2 linked regions of the Drosophila melanogaster genome follow. Changing the gene in region 1 together with any one later gene gives a genetic interaction. Each region holds a gene or a part of one and is shown in the gene's direction. Other genes may lie near its edges.

What was found.
Region 2: of PRL-1 (region 1) and Gr21a, changing one suppresses a phenotype caused by changing the other (phenotypic suppression), as found in Drosophila melanogaster (one study listed by BioGRID).

Annotation. Positions count from the first base shown.
Region 1 is NT_033779.5:16,254,296-16,259,129, reverse strand, and holds the start of PRL-1 (PRL-1 phosphatase), read left to right. Parts: upstream 1-1,523; 5' UTR 1,524-2,054; intron 2,055-2,974; exon of another isoform or gene 2,975-3,080; intron 3,081-4,834. Other genes in the region: EndoGI (endonuclease G inhibitor), read right to left, coding at 1-881, 951-1,016. UniProt on the Drosophila melanogaster protein: Probable phosphatase. Inhibits growth possibly by negatively regulating Src64B-induced growth. Regulates central nervous system circuit formation and stabilization of synapse-dense terminal arbors.
Region 2 is NT_033779.5:778,424-783,404, forward strand, and holds Gr21a (gustatory receptor 21a), read left to right. Parts: upstream 1-2,058; 5' UTR 2,059-2,873; coding exon 2,874-3,625; intron 3,626-3,700; coding exon 3,701-3,758; intron 3,759-3,814; coding exon 3,815-4,018; intron 4,019-4,071; coding exon 4,072-4,401; 3' UTR 4,402-4,462; downstream 4,463-4,981. Other genes in the region: CG13947 (uncharacterized protein), read left to right, coding at 781-1,140. UniProt on the Drosophila melanogaster protein: Gustatory and odorant receptor which mediates acceptance or avoidance behavior, depending on its substrates. Gr21a and Gr63a together are sufficient for carbon dioxide detection and avoidance behavior.

The DNA of each region.
Region 1 (4,834 bases):
ATCTTGTCGCGCCAAAAGTCGAGAAGCTCTTTGGTGAGAACCTCATCCCTCAGATTGAAAATCCAACTGTTGTAGTCGTCGGGCCCATAGAAACCAGCATCACCCTTGTACTCCTGCAGCAGCTCGGCGGCCTTGTTTTGATCCTCCGCTGAGGGTGTGCCATCGAAGAGCAGCTTCCAGATTATCTCCCTGGCGGCTGCCGCTATCTTCTTCACGCTGGCCTGGTGAACGCTGTCCGGAACGATGATTTTGGTCAGAACAAAGCGCTTCATTAGAGTTCGGTATTCCTCGAGCGGATTTTCCTTGGTCAGGGTGGCCTCAAATTCGCCAGACAGAGCGGCGGCATCATCGGCACTCAGTTCACCCGGAGTTGTAGGCGTCGCTGGCCCATCCTGATCCAGCGAAGCCTGCTCCTCGAGTGCTGCGCGCACCTTTAAGCTGGCTGCAAATGGAGCGGTACAACCGGCATGGGCATAGAACTCCAATGGCGGGGTGTCGTCGCTGTCAAAGAGATCACTGTCGCGTGACCAACAGGGACCGAGTTGCTTCTTCACCAGCACATCGCGCCAAAAGTCGAGGAGTTCCTTCTTTAGAACCTCATCCCTCAGCTTGACAATCCATTCGTTGTACGGCGTCGGGTCGTAGAAGCAGGCGTCACCACGGTATTCCTCCAGCAATTGGCTGGCCTTCTCTGTGTTCGATTGCGAGGTACCGGCCTCGTCGAATAACAGCCGCCAGATGACGTCACGCGCCGCTGCAGCCGTTCGATCGAAATTCTCCTTGGTGACATCATCATCCACGATTTCGTCTACCTGCACGCGTGTTTCGATAAGCTTTTGGTAATCCTTAACGGGATCCACCAGGCCAATGGTGTAATCGTTCTGTCCAGACAATAGTTGTTATTGTTTGTAAACTATTTTTGTTTATTTTCTATGGCTGTTGCTTATTACCTGTGCTACTTTCTCGGCCGTTGCCATTTTGTCGGATTGTGTGTCCTCGGCCTTGCGCTTGGACATTCCCCTCTGGATAAATTGGCGATTTAAGGTTCTTCGAAGTAAAGCGTTTAAAATCGTTGGGCTATTGATCGTCACTTCTGTCGGAAAGAGATAAGATGACTAATTCAGATCGCCGCTTGCTGTTGCGATACTACGAATGTAAATAGTAGGGTAGTTCTTTTCAATAGAGAATAATTTTAATTGGAATATTCTCGGAAGGACAGACCAAGAATCAAAATAAGACGACTTATTGGATGAATAAGAAAAGAAAGTATGTGACATATTGAAAATATTATATATTTTATGTCGGTTTATAAATAAATATATATGTATATATATTGTACAACTTCCTTTAAAATCACATCTTACATTTAAAATAAAAAAAACTGTTTTTAAAAGACAATTGCAAAATAGGTAATTAAATTATTACAAAAAAGTATCGATTCTGCCCGCAATCGATGTTTATCTAACACTTAATTGCACTCGATACTATCGGCTCTATCGAGTGTTCGAGATTATCGAATATAATCACCATCCGTGTCTACCAACACAAACGAGCGAATTGTTCGCAACGCCTACTTCGATTACAAGTACTTTGCTCTTGGAAATCGGTAGAAAAAATTGTGCAATCCGTGCTGGAAACTACAGATATTATTTTCGCCCGATTAATTCATGTCAAATTGATAGATTCATCTTATACCATTGGTTCCGCCCCGTGCTGACTGTGTTTGTGTGTGTGTGTGCGTGACAGACACAAAGAAATTTGAGGTTAAGCTGCAGATGAATTTTGCGTTAATGTCGCTGAAAAACCAAAGTTTAACAATCCTATTCAATAAAAAACACTTAAGCTAAAGATACAATCAATTTACAGTTGCAATAAGAGCAATAGTTGTGTCGTAAAAGGCAACACACACCAGCCAATTGCATTCGTGGAATTCGTGTCGGTGAGAGTCTCGCGGTGCGTCTGTGTGTGCGTGTGGACGTGAATTCAATTTTCTCGTGCACGAAAAGCAACGAAAAAGCTTCAAAAGTTATACTCAAATGTGTATGGCAATTGTGGTAAGTGCGGCAGGGGATCGGCTACAGCCGCAAGTTTTTAAATAATACATTTTTGTTGCATAAATTGTTTCGAACGTCAACGAACACTCGCACAACTACTGAGCCACAAAGTATGTGTGCTTGTGTGCGTGCGTTGGCATTTACATTCAATTTTTTTCGTTTAAACAATTTCTAACTGGATTTTGTTTGTTTTATTCGAAAAATAGTCTTAAAAAACATGTTGGCATTAGAAATAGTTTCTGGAATTTGTTTAAATTTTTTTTTAGTATATATCAACCAGTTACATTTTTATTTGTCTGTGCAAAAACTATAAACAATTGTCATCTTGTAAAACTAGAATATGTTATAAACTAATTGTGTTTACGTTTTTTATAAATATGAATGTGAACTTTTTAAATGTATTCTTCTCAAAATACCAACAAATCTGTGTAATTGCTATGAATAATATTCTTTTCTTCGCAATCAAATTAATCGAATTGCAAATTCTGCTGTGCTTGCATAAAAAACGTTAAGGAAAGTAATGTAATGTCCCATTTGTTATCATACACAACAATCATATACTTCAATAAATGGGTAACTTCACGCATTTTACTTTCATTCGACCCAGTTACCTGGTTAACTGCCTTCGCCAGTTGAAAATAAATGTCAGCTGACCCAGTTTTACCATCCGAACGGAACTAGGACGGGACCAAAACTATTTTGCACTGCACCAGTTAAAGTTTATTTCTCTTATTTTTTTTGGCAGTTTTTATCATCTTCATACGTCATTTGCTAGGTACATACACGTAGATTCTAATCTAATATCTAATCTGTTGAAGACATTTCGAGCAGATTTATATCATATCAAAGCGGCAGAGCAAACAGTAAACAAAAGACATGGCCGAGAGAAATTGTTTTTTTTAGAACAAAACAGCCAAATCAGTTGGCATTTTATACTGAACAAATGTGGACGGAGCAAAGTTGTAGTGCAAAAAGATTGCCTTCGTTCATAGCTTTCAATTTTACAATCAGTTGTTACTCAACAAGGTTTGGCTGTGATTTGCTGTTATCTCGAATTTTCGCATTTTTTCCACCTGTGTTTATCTTGATCGCACTGTTTGCTAATCGATATCAGCAAATTGCGTCAATTGGTATTGAAAGCGGTATAAGCGGTATAGAAATGGAACCTGGCAACTGAAACTGTCCCATACGCACCAAAGGAATATCAATTATACGCCAACCGGTGGTTGAAAATCCCAACGATATCCATTTTTTAACCGGTTCTCTTGTCAGATTTCTTGTGCTCTCTCCCTTTTATTTCCGTTTGGGGTCTCTTGTCCTTGAACAAGTTCAATGATAGTGCCCCGGCCACGGCAATACAAACAAAAGAAAGAAAAGAATCTCTTTCGGTTTCATTCTCTCTTTTTATTTATCCGTGATAAAAAAGAGCGAGCAGATAAGCGTATCAGCCAAGGGAAGAATTTTAAAATCCGGTTTGACTTTATCAAAAATATACCGAACAAACTCATACGAAAAGACGTCATAACTTGAACGCATCGATTACAAAACTCGATTAATTTGGTAGGGTTCCTTTCAATCATACAGATATACATTTTTCAAGATTGAATACCTATCTATCTAGCATTGCATTAAATTCCATTTTCTTATCAAGAGTACTACTACATGTATCTCAACTCAGTGTAGAGATTACGTATACGCTTCTTGGTTATTTTGTATTCCAGCTGTTTGTATTTTGTTGTCTGGGTTTATCTGCTTTCCGCCAGTTCTAAAATATTCCATATTCCCACGCACACAATCGAATCGAAAGCCAATTGAATTCCTCGAAATGTGTGGCAATACTTTCGTTCATTGAAATGCTTCCAGCAAATTTGTTTGAGGTCATTTTGATTTAGTGCAATTTATTGGATCTTTCTGAACATCTTCAACATCTTCTTAATTTTTGTTGTTGTGCGATAAATTTGCTTACTCGACAATTACCGAAATTAAACTTATTTAAAATTTACAACTTTCACTGCTCCGTGATCTGTAACCAAATCTATAAATGTGTCAAGTTGTAATTATAGAAATTCTCAAAATTAATTGAATGTAGATAAATGTATATTTCACGGTCTTTTGAGGTCATACTCGTACAGTAGCGGCAGCTTAAATTCTACAGCCAGCTAATTAAATACACTCGCACATTAGTTAGGAAGAAGTCAAGAACTCGCTAATTAGAAATATCGAAGTAGCATGAGAGTTGCGAACTTTCAGACTACTTTTCGCGGTTATATATCATTGTGCTGTATTATTTTTTTTTTTTTTTTTACTGCTGTCACGTTTTGGCCGCTTGTGTGCAGAATTTCACCAATACATGTCATATCCAAAAATAGACCAAAAAGCGAACAACAAAGCATGCAATACGATTTACAAACGTCAGTGGAGGGTGGAGGGTGGTAGATTGGTGGAAAATGGGAGGGGAAAATGTCACCGACCACCCCCGGATTCTATATATAGTGCGCGATAAATGCGGCGCTGTTTGTCCTCAATAGTTTTGGCCTGCCCTTGGTTAAGGTACACAGTACCCAAAACTAACCAGGAAAATGGCACTTTTTTGTTGATGTACTATGCATGTATGTACGTAATCCTTGTCTGTAAATCAACCTTGAAGGACCTGCAATTTGTGGCAGGAGAAGGCATGCATTCGATAATTGCAATAACGAGACAAGATTGCTTATTTATTTTTGTTTTGGTTGCATTTTATCAAAACAAAACAACAACAGCTGTTTTCCGATTAAAAGTCG
Region 2 (4,981 bases), about 15 Mb from region 1:
TCCTCGCCTACACGGCTCGCAAATGTGATTAAACTGAAAGTGGTTAAGCTGGATTGCTTTGATTCATTTAAATTCAACTTGAAACTAGGCCAGTTTTCAAATATATTGTATACTATTCTTTATTATATTAATTGCACTAAGGAGTAAACTATTGTCTGAGTTGATTGCATAAAGTATGCACTAGTTTAACTCTATTTTCACAGCTCGAATTTATTCAAGTGCACTTTCGAGTGCGCATTTCAGACCTTGCAATTTTCCCCGACCAATGCAAATTAAATTAACATTTATTTATTGGTCCTGCATTTGAAGGACCCATGCAAACTCATAAATCGCATCCGCTGCTGGTCGAACTGATGAATTAGCCGCAAGCCCAATGGAATCGAATCAGAAGGCGACAACTCCATTAGCTATAAAAACCACCCAAACCACGTTCTATGGTGATAAATAGTCGACTGGACAAACACTTTGTGTTTGCCAACACAAGCACAAACGCAGACAAGAGCGACGACGGCAGTATTGAAATCGAATCAACAGCAGCTGGTCTGTGACGCTGGGGAAAAACAGATATTCATTCATCTATCCATCTAGCGTTTGGAACAGCTCAAGTCTCTTTGTCCGGCTCCGGTTTTACCAAATTACACCTGACGTTTATTTGATCGGCGACGACGTCACCGAAAACCATCTGGTAACGAAGTCGGTGGAACTGGCGAGGTGAGAGTATAAAAGGCTTGTGGAACTGGTGAATAGGTATCAAACACCAGTTCCACGGACAGATATAAGATGCGTTCCTTCATCATCATCGCCCTCTTCGCACTGATTGCCGTGGCTGCCGCTCAAGGTGGACCCCAGGGCGGACCTCAGGGTGGACCTCAGGGTGGACCTCAAGGTGGACCACAGGGCGGACCCCAGGGTGGACCTCAAGGTGGACCCCAGGGTGGTCCTCAGGGAGGACCCCAGGGTGGACCGCAGGGAGGACCCCAGGGTGGTCCTGGTGGACCCGGTGGACCCGGGGGACCGTGGGGACTGCCTCCAAATGCCACTCTTCCCAGCAACAGCACTACCACCACCACCACTTCAACGACCACCGAATCCAGCACCAGCACAACCACGGAAGCCAGCACCGAGTCATCCCCTGCTTAAGGCGCAGGACTCCAGCCAATCTAAAATCCATTTTTGGCTTGTTCTCTTCCGCGCTTTCCTCGATATTAATAAAAGTCTTTTCTGCAAAAAGTAAATCTTTCTCACATTTTCTCAGCACCATTTCGCACAAGATACTTGCATTACGTCTACAGAGAGAAATCGTTTGATTCAAGGGGAAAAAGCAGTATTAAATTAATAGTGCGATCAAATTGAGTCTAAAGTGTTTTGTGTTGAACACCCTTTTTGCTGTAACAGCACATAAATTAAGTATTTGTGGGATCGAAAATTTTACTAGTGTAATAAAGCATTCAGATAAAGTGGGATTTCCTGTCAGTGCAGCCCCGTGATGGATGGCAGACCAAGGCGATGGTGGAAGGGCAGAGGGAGGAATGCAAGCCACGGGATTCGGAAATCGAAATGTAACTTGTTCGCCGAGGCCGCCTGGTGGCTGACAGCCGGCGGCCATGAGAGATTCGCTCGGCTGCTGTGACACTTGGAATAGGCACGTCCTTCGAAAGGGACGCGGCAGCAACAAGAGCCCACAAATCCTAGGATGCGCTGCATCAGTTCTTTAAGCCGCATCCTGGTGGATGAAGCCAGCCCGTTTTAAATGGACCATGCAGTCGCCCTCTCAAGTTGGGTGCAATTATGTGACATGGCGCACACACTTCGTGGGCATAAAAAACCAGCTAAACACTTTATTTATGCACTTCCCCTTGTCGTTTGTCTTGAAAGTTTTCGCATTAAAAGAGCTGAGTTTGCCAAACTGTGTGCAATGAAAATGAGTTTCGCTGCCAAAACAGGGAAAACTCTGGCCAAAAAGCAGGGTCGAACTCGCAACAGTTGGCTGCGAGTCCCCCGAAAGCTGTGAAACTCTTTAAATATGCCTCGCAAATTCCAAACATTCTTCGGGGAAGATTTGTAGCTCGCTTATCCCGGTGGAGTTGCATGAGGGGATTGGCAGTCCAGAACGGCTGTCATTGCCATGGATTTCCTGTCCACTCTCGCCTGGCTTTAAGCGCCTTAAGAGCCATTAATGCCGGGCCTTTTGGTATCTGAGGCAGAAATAGATCAAAAGTCAGACCCACACACACGACGGACCAGATGAACTGGGACAGGGTCAAGGATTGGGACAAAGGCGAAGATGGCGATGGCGATGGAGCTGGCAGTCCGTCCCGTTGGTGGCACATTTTTATTGGTCATTAGTGCGAGCCTCTATCGGCATTCGTAAGCATTTACACATCGTTAAACTTTCATTTCCGGCAAATTAAGCGCATTTTATGTACCTTCTCCGTTCGGTCGCCCTCAGCTGCCCACCGCCTCCTCCTCCTCCTCCTCCTCATCCTACCCTGCTGTTTGGGGTCACCCGTTGGTCGGTGTCAGCAGAATGACCACAACAAGCGGACACTGAGAGAAAATCAGAGGCCGTGTGAATACACAAAATGAACACAGCTTTTGATTAGCACTATATAATCTTGCTAGAATGGGAAGGTTTAAAACCATGTTTGCAATGCATTCCCTACCATTTTTTCTGAGTGCAGGAAAGCTGCCCGACTAGGCTCGTGCTGATGTCCCGGACTTAAGCATATTTAATGGAGGGCAAGCAAATGGGCGCCGCCCCGGGCGTGTCCCTTTCATTGTTTGTCTTTCAATCGAAAGTCAATAGCAAGGCTGCGTGGAGGAGTATAAAAGGTCCGTCATTGGGAAGCCGTATGACTTTCCTCGATCGCACGATGTCGTTTTGGGCAGTGAGTCGTGGCCTAACGCCGCCTTCGAAGGTAGTGCCGATGCTGAATCCCAACCAACGCCAGTTTCTGGAGGACGAGGTGCGCTATCGGGAGAAACTGAAGCTGATGGCTCGGGGTGATGCCATGGAGGAGGTGTACGTGCGCAAGCAGGAAACTGTTGACGATCCGCTGGAACTGGACAAGCACGATTCCTTCTACCAGACCACCAAGAGCCTCCTCGTGCTTTTCCAGATAATGGGCGTAATGCCCATTCACCGCAATCCGCCCGAGAAGAACCTGCCTAGAACGGGCTACTCCTGGGGCTCCAAGCAGGTCATGTGGGCCATCTTCATCTACAGCTGCCAGACGACCATTGTTGTTCTGGTGCTGCGTGAGCGCGTGAAAAAATTCGTCACCAGCCCGGACAAGCGCTTCGATGAGGCCATCTACAATGTCATTTTCATCAGTCTGCTCTTCACCAACTTTCTGCTCCCGGTGGCCAGCTGGCGGCACGGTCCCCAGGTGGCTATCTTCAAGAACATGTGGACCAACTACCAGTATAAGTTCTTCAAAACTACCGGCTCGCCGATCGTCTTTCCGAATCTCTACCCACTCACCTGGTCGCTGTGCGTCTTCTCCTGGCTCCTAAGCATCGCCATCAACCTGTCGCAGTACTTCCTGCAGCCGGACTTCCGGCTGTGGTACACATTCGCCTACTACCCCATCATCGCCATGCTCAACTGCTTCTGCAGCTTGTGGTGAGTAGCTGTCCTATGGCAAAAACAAATGAAAAATCCCCACAAAGACAATACTTCCTTTCTGAAATCCGAAAGGTACATCAACTGCAATGCATTCGGAACTGCAAGTCGCGCTCTTTCCGACGCTCTGCAGGTAAAATAACATATTATCAGTGCTCAATTACAAAATTACTAAACTGAAACATCCAGACAACCATCCGGGGCGAGAAGCCCGCCCAAAAACTCACTGAGTACCGCCATCTATGGGTGGATCTGAGCCACATGATGCAGCAGCTGGGACGAGCTTACTCCAACATGTACGGCATGTACTGTCTAGTCATCTTCTTCACAACGATCATCGCCACTTACGGCAGCATCAGCGAAATCATCGACCACGGGGCAACCTACAAGGAGGTGCGATTGCTTGCCACGCAGGGAATAACTCATATTGATTAGGACATTTCCAGGTGGGTCTGTTCGTCATCGTGTTCTACTGCATGGGTCTGCTGTACATTATCTGCAACGAGGCGCACTACGCCTCCCGAAAGGTCGGACTTGACTTCCAGACGAAGCTGCTCAATATCAACCTGACTGCCGTGGACGCTGCCACCCAGAAGGAAGTGGAGATGCTGCTTGTGGCCATAAACAAGAACCCGCCCATCATGAATCTGGACGGGTATGCAAACATCAACCGCGAGCTGATCACGACCAACATCTCGTTCATGGCCACCTACCTCGTGGTCCTGCTGCAGTTTAAGATCACGGAGCAGAGACGCATTGGTCAGCAGCAGGCCTAGTTTCCTATAAAATGATTCTCGCCAAGCTGGGCCAAATATAATATGCTTTCGGTTTCAATGTATATCGAGATTAATAGGATTTTTCTTAGATTTTGCCTCAAATTTGTCCCATCACCAAACTTTATACAGTTTTAAGTCGCTAATGGCCTAAACTAACCACCCAAAACACTTTTTGAATGATATAAAAAAATTTTTTTTTAACAAATTTTGAAATTTTGGAAAGGGGTAACATCATGATTTTTGGCGAAAAATGGAAAAAAATACAATTTCTAAGTTGGAATGCAGTTCGATTGGAAAGTTTATTACGAATTCAACAAGGCATATCACTTTTTTCTCCGATCATTTTTTGGAATGTTATGCGAAAAATAATGACTTTTCTATGACAAAAAGTTAGTATTAGCTTAAGTGCCACATTTTCATTGCAATCATTTTTCGAAACTAGGCTTAAAATTGTCTCACAACCAAAATTCTTACTGTTTTGAATAGCTATTGACCTAAACTAACCACCCAAAAAACTTTTTGAATGATATCAAAAAAAAATTTTTTTACCAATTTTTGAAATTTTGGAAAGGGGTAACAT